2 linked regions of the Diceros bicornis minor genome follow. The protein of the gene in region 1 purifies or fractionates together with the protein of each later gene. This does not show direct contact. Links are inferred from orthologs where the notes say so. Each region holds a gene or a part of one and is shown on either strand. Other genes may lie near its edges.

Region 1 (6,408 bases):
CGGCCCGCCCACCGCGCACGCTCTGGACCCAGGCCTGGGGCTTTCCGGGTCCCGGCAGCCGCCTGCCTGGGAAAATCCCGGCCCCCTTCCCGGCTCCGCGGCCCTGCCGGGCAGAGCGGGGGAGGGGATTCCCGGAATCTGCCCGGAGACCGCCGGCGCGTCACTGGGCAGAATCGGCCCAAATATGGGCAGCGCTTCCGCTGCGTCAGCGGGGAAAGCCCCGGCGCGCGGCTGGGCGGGGCCGCACCTGCGCACTGCGCGCCTCGCCCGGGGCACTCTGCCCCCTGGTGCTGGGCGGCTGGACCGCGTCCCCGCCCTGGACCTTCCAACCCCAGAGATCAGCGGACGCGAGTAGGGTTGGACGCTCGAGCTGGAGCTGCAAGATGCCTGGGCAGAGCTGGCGAGGGGAACCCGGATACAGGAGCGAGCCACAAACAGCAGTGGGGTGGGGGCAGCCCAGTACTCTCCTCCCTCCGCCCGCCCGGCTTGGAAAAAAAGACAACAGAAATTAATAAAGAACCATTTTTTTTTTTTACTTAAATAGATTCAATAAAAAGTGGGAACGACAAACTCACGCACACACACACAAACACATATTAAAATAAACTCTGTAGAGTCCAAGGGTGTGTTTCTTCTCCACAGTACGATGCAGAGGGGGGAGGGCAGGGGGCGGGGGTCCCCTCCCCAGTGTTCCCGCGGGCTTGAGTACCGGGCGGCGGGGCCAGCTCCGCCGCGATCGCCCCCTCCTCCCCTCCCTGTTAAATACACAAATATATTATATTCAATATGACTTAGTCTGTTTCCAGCAGAAAAAAACATACAAAAAAATGTGGAAGAGGGGCTTGTAAACGTCGAGGTGGAAGGACTGAGCGCAGAGCGTGCGGGCAGGAGTCCAGTGTGGTGTGCGGCGTCCCCAGGCTCCGGGTCCGGTGCCCACCGCCTGCCCCCTCGCCCCGTGGGAGGCGTGCGCCCAGCCGTCCAGGCTGGGGGAATGTCTGTACGGGGGCGCTCAGAAGGCGTGTCCCTTGACCCCAAGAAGCAGCTGGCAGCCGTTGCTGACATGGGTCATGACCTTCTGTTTGAGCTGGGCCACCTGCTCCCGGAGGAGGCCGGCAGTGCTCGACAGACCCGCGTTCTCGGCCTTGAGTGTCTTCACCTTGTCCTCCAGGCGCGCGATGCGCTCCAGCTTCCGCTTCCGGCACTTGGTGGCCGCCAGCCGGTTCCGCAGCCGCTTGCGCTCCACTTTGATGCGCTCCTGGTCTTCCATGTTGATGGGGGACACCGGCGGCGTGGCGTCGCGGCTGCGCGCCTCAGGCACGGTCTGCGGTTCCTCCTTGAAGGTGGAGGCGCCGCGGCCCAGGCCCAGCTGCGCCGGGTGGCCGCCGGCGAAGGGCGGCGCGTGTGGGAGGTAGCTGATGGTGGCCGTCGGGTACGAGCTCCCGGTCCCGACGGCGGCCCCGGCGCCTCCGGAGGGCGCTGAGGCTGGCGAATAGCTGCTGAGGTTGGTGTAGACGGGAGGCGGCTCTGGGCCGGCGTAGACACCCCCGGGCCCGGCCGGGGGCCCCCCGCTGGTGCCCAGGGACACGTTGGGGGGCGTCACGTGGTTCATCTTGTGCAGGTCGTCCAGGGCTTTGACAAAGCCGTCGGCGAAACCTTCCTGCTCCTCGGTGACGCCGCCTCCCGCGCCCCCCGCACCTCCACCGCTGCCACCCCCGCGGGGGTAAAAGTACTGTCCCGGGGGCGTGGGCGTCGTCGTGATCACGCCGTTGCTGTTGGGGACGATCAGGCGCTCCAGCTCCGATGAGGCGAGCTTGAGTGACGCGCCTGTGTCCGAGCCCTGGCTGGGAAAGTAGCTGCTGCCACCGCTGCCCTCTGGGCCGGGGCCCCGCGCCCCGGGAGCTTTGAGACCTCGGTAGGGGTCGGCCAGGTTGAGCGCCAGGCTGGGTTTCAGGAGTTTGTAGTCGTGTAGAGAGAGGCCGCCCGGGGCCCGGCCGTATCCCGCCGCTGCGTATGAGTCGTCGTGGTAGAAGGGCTGTTCCATTTTAGTGCACATCCGGGCGGCCCGGGCGGTCTGGCGGGGTCCCTGCGGGGCCGCCCCGGGCCTCGCTGCAGCGAGCGGCTCGCTGTCCGCGGCGGTGGCTGGACTGGGCGTCTGGACGCGCGTTCCTAGGGGCTGGAACAGGCCGGGAGACGCCAGCCGGCGGCTGTGCGCGGAAGCTCTGTGCGGCTTCTCGAGCTCCTCTGCCCCTCTCTGGCGCGCCCGCTTTCTTGGTGTCGCTTCCCCCTGCTCCCCGCTCCCCGCTGGCTCCGACGCTGGCCTGGCCGCGCTCAAGGTCCCAGCCGCTCAGTCGGAGTCACACGCCTTTATACCGCGATAGTCAGCTGCGGAAGTGCGCCCCGATTGGCCGTTGCTGGAGCCGGGCCCCCGCGCCCCCCCCCTTGAGCGTGGGGAAGGGGAGGAGGCGGCTCGCGTCACTGTCAGGAAGCGCGTGTCCTTGTAAACAGCGGCCACGGGCTGGGTGGCTCGGCGCGGCTGCAGGGGGAGGGGCTCAGGGGACCCCAGGGTGCGCGAGGAAGGGGCTGCTAGGGCAGTCGGGGAGGGGCTCCAGGAAGGGCATGATCCCCCTGAAGTACGCGATAAGGGATACGAGGAACTGATACAGAGCAAGTGTGTGCGCGCGGGGGGGGGGGGGGTCCCAATCCCAGGATGTCCATGGAGAGGCCTGAGGGACCCAGAGTATCCGAAAGGGGTTGGAGGACTGAGAATACACCGGAGACCCCACAAAGAAGAGACGGGAGGGTTAAGTAGAGTAGATGGGGGAGGGGTAAAAATACGCCTGACTCAGGAATGACGGGGGTCCTGGGTACAGAGAGGTTGGGGGACTGGAATTTTCACGAGAGGGGCTGAACCCAGGAAAAATGAGGAGGGGGAGAGATCAAAAGGGTAGACGGGGAGGAGCCGGAGGACCCATCATGCAAAAAACGAGTAGGGGTCCTGGAGTCCATGGGAGAGACTGAGGGGCCCCCACAAGTGGGAAGGGGAAGGAATTGGGGGTATCTAGATATGCAGAAAGTGAGGGTTCTGGGGTACAGTGAGTAAGGGAAAATATGTGGGGTAGAAGATGGAGACTGTCAGAGATTGGGGGTCACTGGGGTTATCTACAAAGCCCTGATGAAAGAGAATTAGAGGGATCGGGGCACACCTTCAGAACTGAGATGACAATGACAGAGGGTCCCCGGCTGAGACATGAGAGGAGGGGTCTTTGAGGATCCTGGGGACCTGTACTGCTGGATCTTCCATGATTGGCGCCCCCTCTCGTGGGTGACCTCTAGGCGCCTGTATACTCTGTCCCCATCCCAAAGACCTCCCCCAGTGACCCTGGGCTTGACCGACACCGTGCCGGCTCCTGGTGCCTGGACCCAGCCTGACCGCCGGGGCGCGGTCGCCCAACCCCACTCCTTCCTTAGAAACAGGCTGGGGAAAGAGCGCCGCAGCAGGAAGTGTGGCAACAGCCCCCGGGGAAGGAGCCCGGCCCTGCCTCCGTCACTCGGATCCTACGGGACCGTGCGCCCCGCCCTGGGTCCGGCTGGGTTGTGCGCCTCGGAAGAGGAACCTGGGCGTGCGACCCCTCCGGAGGCCAGCGTGCGCGGAACCCGCCCAGCTGCAGAGGCCCCCAGTCACATCCCCCCCCTCCAGCAATGGTTCAGCCCGCGGGGGCTCGCAAGCGATCGCGGAGGCAGGCAGGCCCGGGACGATTCCATTGACCCGACAGAGGGGGACGCACCGGGGAGCAGGGCCTGGTAGCCATGGCAACAGGCCGGAGTCCGCGGGCAGGGCTGGGGGCGGGGCGGCCCCCGGAGTCTCTCCCGACGCCCATATAAGGGCACAGGAAGGGGTGGGGCCAGCGCTGTCCCGGGGCCCCGAGCCAGGAGCCGGGAGTCCGGGTATCTGCCAGGTTCCCGGGCGCGCCCGGGCCCCCGGACGGCTAGTCCCGACCAGCCCTGGCCGCCGCCCCCAGGGCCCCCACGGCCGCCTGGCCCGGCCCCACCCAGCCGCTCTGGGGCCGCGTCCTGCCAGCCTTGGCCCGGCCCGGCCCGACCCAGCCCGGCAGGTCCCCGCCTGCCCGCGGGCCTGGGTCGGACTTCGCCCCTGGCCCGACGGGGCGCGGAGGGGGCGGGCCAATGCCTGGAGGCTCCCCCGGCGCCTGGGCGGGCTGGCACGGCTGCCTCCTCCCTCGGGCGGGGTGCCCTTCCTTTCTGCCGTGAGGTCTGTGGCCCCTCCCCACAAACACCCCTGGGAGCTGGTGTGCCCCCTCTCACTCATGTGGGTGAGGGGCCCTACTCCTGTTTTAGTCTGAGGGTCTTGTCAACCATCCAGAATACCTAGGGGGTTCCCCTCTCCTCCAAACAGAGGGGACCTGAGAATCCGTGGCGAGATCTGAGGGAACCCCTCCAGAGCTCCTTCCCTGGGACTGAGTGGAGGTTTAGATGACGAGGTTTCTAGTTAGACTTAAGGTGAGACTTCCAAGCAGTTAGGATGTGAGCCTCTAGAACAAGAGGTGAGAAGCTCCATCTCTCTCTCTCTCTTTCTCTCTTTTTCTCTCAGAGAGAGGCCTCTATTTTCTGGGAAGATGGAAGTTTCTTTAGGGTAGAGAGGGGCTGAGGGACAGGGGCTAGCCAGTCTTTGCAGGGCAAGCACAGAGCTCAGCAAGTGTGGGGGAGAGAAGGAAAACGAAAGAGGCGAAAAAGAAACTGAGCTATGTGGGGGCAGGGGGAAGTCCAGCAGAGCAGTGGTGTTGGGGAGGAAGATCCCAGGAGAAGCTGGGGGCCTCCCGTCTCTGGAGGGTCCTTGTGACCCCTGGGTGCCCCCTCGGCCTCCTCCCCTTGCTTGAACAGCTCCCCTCCCCCGCCCCAGGCTCAAGGGAGATTCCAGTGGCCGCTGAGTCTGGCGGGCACGCTGCCAGGCCTGTGTCTCCCGCCCATGCTAATAGCTGCAGCTGACATCTGGCTGGGCCCTGCGGGGGCGCAGCGGGCAGCGTTGGGGGGCTGGGCAGGTCTGGCGGGAGGGCAGCACCTTGGGAAGCCAGCCTGCAGGTCCCACGGGCCAGGAGGCCACAGCAAGTCAGCCCTGGCCAGTGCTGAGGCTGGCCATGCCAGGGGGGTCCTGGAGAGAGGCGAGGCTGGCCAGGAGAGGATGGAGATGGAGGGCAAGGACTGAGCGAGGACAAGCAGTTGTGTGGGGGCGGGGGTCAGCACAGGCAGAGACGCCCAGAGAGACAAACCGGGGTAGGGTTAGCGTCATGCAGACAGACAGCAAAACTCAGAGACACTTAAGATAGGTCGACAGACTGAGAAATAATAGTTATTATTTTAATAGCTAACACTTATATGGCTCTTACCATGGGCCTGGCATTCTTCTAAGTGATTTGAGTAACTCATTGCCTGCTTCTAACAACCCAGCGAAATGCATGCTGTTTCTATCCCCATTTAACAGACGTGAAAACTGAGGTACAGGAAGGTAAGGAATTGCCTGATGTCCCAGAGCTGTAAGTGCTGGAGTTGGAACATAACCCCAGCGGTCTGGCTGCAGAGCATTAGCCACTGTCCTGTGGATAATCACAACCAGAGAGGCGTTTATGCGGCACCAGCTGTATGCCAAGCTCTGCAGGCTCTTTCACGAAGGGTCTTCTCTCATGGGAAGAGAGATGGGGTTGGGCACAGGGCAGAGGGGTGCTGGTGTGTGTGGGCGCCGGCCGGCGTGTTGCAGTGGGGTCGGGTAGCTGCATGCGCTCTGCATGGGTGTCTGAGCAAGGAGTGGGGATTGGGCCAGTGCGAGAGGGCGGGGGCCCAGCCAAGCTGGTACAGCCGGTTCCAGGCCCTGCCAGTCTCACCTTTGTGGCCTGGGCACCACCCCCTCACGCCGCCCCAGTGGCGCCAAGGCCAAAGTGAGGAGAGTGTGAGGATAGCCCCCTCCCCCACCTGGCTGGGGTGCCCAGACTGGCAGCTGGGTACTGCCCAGGCCCTGGGCTTCAGACCAGCATCTGGCTGGGAAGTCTGTGCCCAGGCTTCCCCCTCCCAGGGGCCTAGCGCTGGGGGGGAGCGGGATAAGGAGGAAGTTCACCCACCCCCACCCACGGGTCTCTCTGGGGCTTTTGGCCCTGGCATGAGGGACTTCTCCTTCTTATAAATAGCCTAGTGACCCCCTCCCCCGTGGCCCTACTGACCGGTGGGGCCCTCACCAGGAAACTGGGCCGGGGGCTGCCGGTGAGTCAGCCAGTGGGCAGGCCAGGGCGAGAACCCACAAGTCATAGCACCCAGCCTCCGGAGTCCCTGCCCCTGGGTGTGGACACGCAGCTGGGCAGGAAGAGGCCGAAAATCATGGAGGTCCTCCCCCAGGAACCCCTGGCC
Region 2 (7,353 bases), on another chromosome or scaffold:
ACTGGAAATTCAGCTCCCAGATTTTATTTCCTAGCAGCTACAACAACGTTGAATTTTCACTTTTAATTTTCATCTCTTTCCAGTAAGCACTGCTCATAAAACATCTTACAGTAGGAAGCCAATGTTGGTCTTTCATAACTTCGTATCTTGGTCTTTCTCCCAGCCTACTTGAAGGCTGTAGGTGTGTAGGTGTCCAGACTTCAGGACTAGAGACGATGCTTCCAGCCCTATCACTACCACTCACATGCTGAGCACCCATTGACAAGTCACTCACGCTTTCTGGGCCTCAGTCTCCTGTCTGTAAAATGAGACCAATACTGCCTGCTCCAATTCCCTCATGGGGCTGTCAGGAAGATCGTATAAGATTCATGATGGTGGATTTACACACATACTGGTAGCCATTATTACTGCGATCCCACTTTCTCCATTTCAGGGGAAACTCATAATATCGTTGTCAATGTCAGTTAGCCCGTTAATTGGGAATTAACTTGAACCCTCAAGAAATTTAGGTCACTCACAGCTTCTTTTGTACTTTGATTGACTTCTGGGCTCCTGACACACCAGGTCAATTCCACCCCACTATTTCCTGGCACCAGCTTGCCTCCACTGGTCTTACATACTTAAGAAATAACCAGTTCTCACACATGAAACCATTTCTGGTTTCTGTGGTATCCTGGCTATGTACTTCCTCTTCCCTAGCCTGGGTAACACTTGGGACCACTGACCCTGTTCCACACCCAGACAATTCGAAAAAGCAAGAAATCATGGGCTCTATACAATGGGATAGAACACCCAGTATTGGAGTCATCTAGGTCAGATCTTCATTTTGTAATTGAGTAAAGTGAGGTCCAGGAAGGTAAAGTGACTTGCCCAAGGCCATAAAGCTGGTGAGTGCCCCAGCCCAGGCCAAGCTGTTGACCACCCACCCGCTGCTCATTTTGCTCCATCACCAAAAGAGATCCAACACTATGAGGATCAACCAATACGGCAAAGGTAGATGAGGGGTCATCTACCCCTCATAGTCCTGTAACCTGGTACCCACTACAGAGGAGGCTTTGACAGGACTAAGACAGGGACAGAGTATAGAAGAAAGAGAACAATGGAGAGGAAGGGCCAAGAGGGAGAGAGAGAAGGGTGGGGTTAAGGCAAGAAGGCTCAGAAGGCTCCAATAGCTGCCAGAGGTGCTGGGTGCTGTCTGTATCTTATGCACAGTATGGGCCTGGATTGCCACCTGCCATGCTGTCTCTGCAACTGTGCAGACATTAACAACTGCAAAACCCACCACCACCCCAGGCTTTGTCCAGGATATCTTCAAAGCAAGAGCCTATATGTTGTAGCATTATTCTACAACAAATGCTAAACACAGAACAAGGGGGACAGTAATACCAATTTCCCCTTCGTTTACAGTTGGGGAGACAGAGGCCCCAAATAGATGTGACTGTCACCCACACTTTGGAGAGCACCCAGATTTTCTAGCATCCCCAATTTTTTTTTCTGGCTTCATCAAGGATTTAGCAACTCCTCTATTTGTAAGGGAGCATATGAGAAGTAGGTAACAAAATTAGGGAAAAGAAAATGGTTAGGAGGAAAGGAAGTAAGTAGATGAAATGAAAATGGGGTGTGGGGCAGCAGAGAATGAGAACCAATCCAATGGGAAGAAAGTTGGGAAAGGAAGAGATGCCCCACAGAGAAGGCCCCTTTCCCCCACTGCCTCAGAAGCTGGTCGGTGACATTAGATAGCGACCCTCCTCATTCAAGTCATTCAAGTCCCCTCACCGGCCCCTTTTGTTTCAATTACACCACTCTAGAATCTGAAAATCTTTAGCCAGAAAGGACTTTACTGGTTATCCAGTCCAAACACCCCCTGGTGCTCGCAAACAAGCAAAGAAGGCCAGTAGTGCCTATGTGCCCACATCTCCCAGCTGGGGATACTGAGGCTCAAGGACATCAAGTGTAGTATAAGCTCTCAGGGCCTGGCCACTAGACCACAAAGCCGTTCTCCCAATTATCTGAACTGGCTTTGCACCCTGGCTTCCCCCCACGGTGGGTCTCCACGGACGCAAAGCAAAGAAATCCGAGAACCCACCAGAGAGAGAGCCAGAGCGAGAGTCACAGGTATGAGGGAAAAGCGTGTGAGGGACTTGGGACAGGAAGCCTCCGGCCCAGAAGCCCAACATCAGCTTGTGCCGGGAGCCCTCTCCGCCTTCTGCCCCAGGACAGCGACATGAGTGCTTGCCACCTCTAAACTTATCCCAACTAACTTTCGCTCCGGGCTCCCTGAGCGGTCCTGAGCCAGCGCTCCGCGATGCGCAGGGCGACCCCCAGCGGCCGCGCCCGCGCCCCCGGCTCGCCCGTCCCTTCCCCATTCATTCCGTTCGGTTCCTAGCACAGCCCTTCCGCGAGCACCCGGCCTCCGCACCTCTCTGCGGACCTCCGGAAGGCTGGGCTCGGGAGTGGCAGTGCCCGGACACGAAGCGAGGGATGGAGCCGGATGGCGAGCCGGACAGTCTCAGACACCCCCGCGCACCCACTTCCCCACACCCGCTCCTAGTGGGGTAAGTAAGTGCCGAGGGCGGAGAGGAGCGGAAGCCCGACCTCTCTGTTCACCAGAAACCTTTCGCGCCCCATGTCAAAAGAGAAAGTTCTTTGCGAGAAACTTTCCCAAGTGCTGAGGAGCAGCCGTGTCTGGGAGAAGTTCAGCCAGAGTTCTTTCGAAGCTGGAGCCTGGGCGTGCGGGTCGGGGGTGGGCGCAGGGATCGGGGGACTGGTTATTAGAGGGTCGCAAAGGGAATGAAAGCGAGCCACCCTCGCAGCGCTCACTCACTCGTCTTCCAGCGCTCACCTCCTGTCTCCCCTCCGGGCGGCCAGGGTCCAGAGGGCGGGCGGGGTCAGGGCGGGGTCGGGCTGTCTGTCTGTCTGTGGGGCCGGCGGGCGAACACCGAGGACGCACGGCCGGCGCGCGGGCTGGTGGGTCGGCTGGGACTGCTGCGCCGGGACAGCGCTCCGCAGCGCGCGTCTAGCTGCGTGCGACTGTGGCTTGGAGCGCGTTGCATCACCCCTTTTATAGCTCTCAGGCTGGCGACACGCCCGTTTACTCTGGGTTACCAGACCCAGGCTGACGTAATGCTATTAATAGCTTCCCCAGAGAACCAGCCGAACTAGGCTGGGCAAAGGGAGGGGCGGGGGAAGGAGGGGCCAAAGCGGGGACTGGTGATGCAAGCTTGGGGAGGAGCCGGCCGGGGCGCGTTCTCCCGGCTTCGCACGCTGGGACACACACCCGCCCGCCCTCTCTCTCCATATCAGGACCGGAGCCGCTCGGGCTGGCCGCCAGATGTGCGTACTCCCCGCTGCGTGTTCCAGGCATGAGCCAATGGTGCCCAAGCCAGCGGCATGACTCCACCGCGCTGGCATCTCTCCCTCCGCTAGGTTTGGGGGGGAAGATGGAGGGGTGGGTCTTGGCCGCAGCCCAGACTAGGTGAGGCTGGGAAACGGGCACGACCTTTTTCTAAAATGCGTGGTCATTTTCTAGAGCTTCAAGAAAATATCTCCTCCCCACGCTAAACACCCCCTTCTCAAGTAAGGGGCGGGGTAGGGGCAGAAGCGTTGGTCTCCGGTGTGGGAGAGGTGCCCAAAGGCACCCTACCGGGACTCCACACCGTTACCCGCCGGGGGTGACCTCCGCGGCAGAGACCGCGAGGAGGCTGCCGGTTAACCCAGTCGCGGAGGGCAGCGCTGGGCGGGCACCGTGCGCCCGCAGCTCCGGCACAGCCGACACGAGCGCACACGCGGAACCGCCTCCGGACCGTTTGGGAACCCGCCTCTGGGGCGAGGGCGAGTAGTAGGACGGTGTGGATTAGGATTTTTTAACAACCACAAAGTGTTTGAGAGGGAGATTCTCAGTGAAACGAACAAGACCATCGAAAGACCAGAGACCTGGAGAGATCAGAGGCGAATCAGAGGGGATAAGAGTGGGGCTGAAGCCGAGCGGCCAGGGAGAGAGCAAAGAGAAGGTGCTTCGGTCTCCGCGGGCCGGGCGGGGCAAGGGTGACCTCGATCTCAGGCAAGATTTAGGGAAAACCCATCTTCGGCTTTCACACGTTTTTCTGCGCCCAGAGCGGATTGGGCTGCGACAGGACAGCCCGGACTCGGGGCGCACTGACCGCAGCCGAAATGAGGCCGGGTAGCAGAAATCCCTTCCGCCCTCGAGCCCGGGTGGCGGGAAAGGCGAGGTCCGATGGCCCCAGCTTCGAGCCAAGGCTTCAGCAGAACTGGATTTGAACCTTAAAAATCGATTTCCCCATTCCGATTCTCCGACTCCAATTGTCTCGGCTTCGAAAGCGGCAGAACCAGGGACCTTCTCAACTGCCCAGGGACACCCATGGACGCGAGTGTAGCCTGCGACGTTTCGAACCTGCCTGGGCGGGTGACCCGCGCGCGCCCGCGGGGTGTGGGGGCACGGCCGGGGGCAGAAACACCTTCTTCTACCTGCCTCTTGGGAGAGAGGCGGTTGACGGTCATAGTTTGGCAATTTGGGGTAAGAGCCAGAAGGGTCTCGGAGTCCGGGTCTAGTCCACAGTCGCACCCCACCGCACCTGCCGCCCCCTCCGCCTTAAATACACAGTCCCGCACCCGCGGGAAATCCCTGTCCCTTTCCCCAGCCCTTCCGATTGCCCAGCAGTCTGGGGCAGAGACCCTCTGAGCTGCAGGTCAAACTGAGTCCCCCACACCCGCGATCCTCTCCCCCAAGCCCCAGCCTCACCTAGAATACCCCCCACCCGTCCAAGCCTTGGGCCCAGGACAAGGAGGAGGGTGGCCTCGGAAGTGCCCCCTCCTCCTGCTCGTCTGGGAACCTCGGGGTTCCACGCAGGATCCTCCGCGATGTGGCCCTGGACATGACCAGGTTTCCAGCAGCGTCGCGCGGGAAGCGTGAGACGGTTGTTTTTGCTTTACTTTTCGCCGTGGTAACGGCTCTCCCGGCGCCACCCTCCAGCCTCCACGCCCACACCGCCTCACACCTCTCCGCACCCCCATTCCCCGCCCTCCTGCGGTAAACCCCGCAGGCAGGTAAACCCCGGGCATGTAGGCACAACCCCTAGAACGCCGCGAGACCAGAAGGAAGGGTGTTTTGCAAATTCACATGAAAGTTTTAGGGATTCTCTACTTATCTATTATATCTACTTATCTCCTAGCTTTGAATAAATTGCACCATTATAAAATGAAACAAGGAGATGGGGGAGAACACGTGAAAGCTTTTTTCTTTTTTTCCCCTCTGTGAAGTGCCTACAGAAATCTTGAACCAGTTTACATTTTAAACTATTATTCCATTAATACATCCAAGCCACATTCGTGGAGGCTTAGTCCTGTCCTTAAGGGGAAATTCCATTTAGAGCATAGGGTAAACAAACAGAACAGCCTCCACAAAACAATGCAAGAGAAAGGTAATCAAGACAGCGAAGTCCACAACCCCTGGTCAGCTTATTTTTATTACCATCCTGCCTCCCATTGTTTCGTTCTAATAAAATTCTTGAGTTGGAATCTCCAAGTCACACCTGGATAGAAATGCTGTCAGCGCTTCTTCGAAGTCAGAGCCTGACACTCTCTGCCTGCTTTCCCACTGAAACTCTAAAAGCATAAGAATCTTGACAGAGAAGTAAGTCCACCTCCTTGTGAATGAAACTCTTATCCAAGGAAAACAAAAACTACTCCAGCCTGCCTCCCTGCCCCCAGCCCCCAGGAGAACTGTGAAATGCCTGGAGAGAGACTAGGAAAGAGCAGTGGAAGGGAAGATCCCCAAGGTGTGTGCCACCAGGGTGATCAGTATCTGAGTCCTGTGCCTCTTCATTTTACCCTGACTTTAGTTAATGCCACCAATGTCCAATGTGCACACTCTGTACCATCTAGAGGAGAGGCAGGAAAAGTTCCCCAGACCAAAATGCTTCTCCATACAAAGGCAAAGAATGCCTCTCCCCCCTGAGAAGGAAGCCCTGGCTAGGGTTATTTCAGGGGTTAATCCTCAATGAAAGAGGGTTAAGCAGAGACTTGAATATTGCTGAGGTTTCACACTGGAGAACCGCCTGGGGAATCCACATTGAGACCAGCCTTGGTATATTTTGCTGAGTGAGATAAGAATTGGAAACTTCGTGCTGGGGCATGTGCAAAAGGAAGGGAAAGAAGTTAAAAGGGGAGGGGAAGGAACTAGGCAGCTAAAAACAGCCCCCCTCGTGGCAACCGAATCTAAACACCAAAACATTGCAGGGAGCCAAAAGAAAAAAAAAAGTTCAAGAGATATTTAAAGATTTTAGCAGTTTCTTGGTCCAGGGAACAGTCCCTTTCCACTCCTGCCTCCACCCCCATTACTCTTCTTCAAACCCCAAGATCCTGTTTGCTCACAGAGCAACGGAGGGGGTTAAACACCAGGTAAGATCATTCCAGGAAGCAGCAGGGTACTGGCAGCCCTGTCCTCCTGGCTCAACCCACTTCTTCACCTCAGAAAGGGAGTGGGGTGGATTTTCTTCCTCTCTGTCCTACTTTCCAAAGCCAAAACCTTCTATAATGTCAGTTTGAATGTGGGGATTACTAATTTAAGAATCTCCGAAATGTGACTCGGGAACCTCAGGGAAGCAGGGCTCTGAAGTGGGCTCTGAAGTGTGGAAGCTGGCTCTTTGGTTCTGGATTCAGCACGTAGCGAATGCGTCACCTTGGATAAGTCATTTCACTCTCTGCACTTAAGTTTCCACAGCTGAAAAATGGCACTGACACTAGCAGCTAACCCGTAAATTTGTTGGGAGGATGCATTGAGGATGGGGCACACAGCCAGTCTTCAGTAGTGGTATCATTAATTATGAATCAAGGAGGGCATTCTGAGGATACCCCTGAATCTCTCCTGGAGCCCATTCTGTCCCCCTAGTCAGTGGCAAATAGTTGTGGATGAAGTCGAGTTGTACCCAGAGAGGACCATCTTCAGGGGAGCAGAGACGACACTCCACACAGAAAACAATGAGAGTGATCCCCATTCTCCACGCGACTCTGGTACACACCCCAGGCTCTCCCCAGAGCAGGGCAGACCAGTGCTTCAGGCTCCCAATGACCCAGTGTAATGCCCTGGGATGGGAGCAGGGGGTTTGGTTTCTGGTCTGGTTTTGCCTTTGATAACCTTGAGCAAGGCACTCTCCCTTCTGAAATGAGGGGCGCTGGACTGAGCTCTGGGGCTCTTGAATGGACACCTTCTGCTGAGACAATCCTGCTTCAGGAGTCCCTGGCAACCTCTCCTAAGAAAGCTGCAGGGAGAGAAGGAAGCAAGGGGAAGGGATTGAATAGCACAAGGACAGACTCATTTCAATCATCTCTTCCCTT

The links. Proteins that work in one complex are often made in the same cells at the same time.
Region 2: the proteins of JUNB (region 1) and ATF3 purify together in Homo sapiens (affinity purification with mass spectrometry; 3 studies listed by BioGRID and IntAct, counting the BioPlex papers as one, with this or other methods). This does not show direct contact. The link is inferred for Diceros bicornis minor from reciprocal best matches to the Homo sapiens genes JUNB and ATF3.

What each region holds. Positions count from the first base shown.
Region 1 is NC_080769.1:4,564,349-4,570,756, forward strand, and holds JUNB (transcription factor JunB), read right to left. Parts: upstream 2,352-6,408; 5' UTR 2,054-2,351; coding exon 1,010-2,053; 3' UTR 509-1,009; downstream 1-508. UniProt on the Homo sapiens protein: Transcription factor involved in regulating gene activity following the primary growth factor response. Binds to the DNA sequence 5'-TGA[GC]TCA-3'.
Region 2 is NC_080743.1:78,227,254-78,234,606, reverse strand, and holds the start of ATF3 (cyclic AMP-dependent transcription factor ATF-3), read right to left. Parts: upstream 3,005-7,353; 5' UTR 2,825-3,004; intron 1-2,824.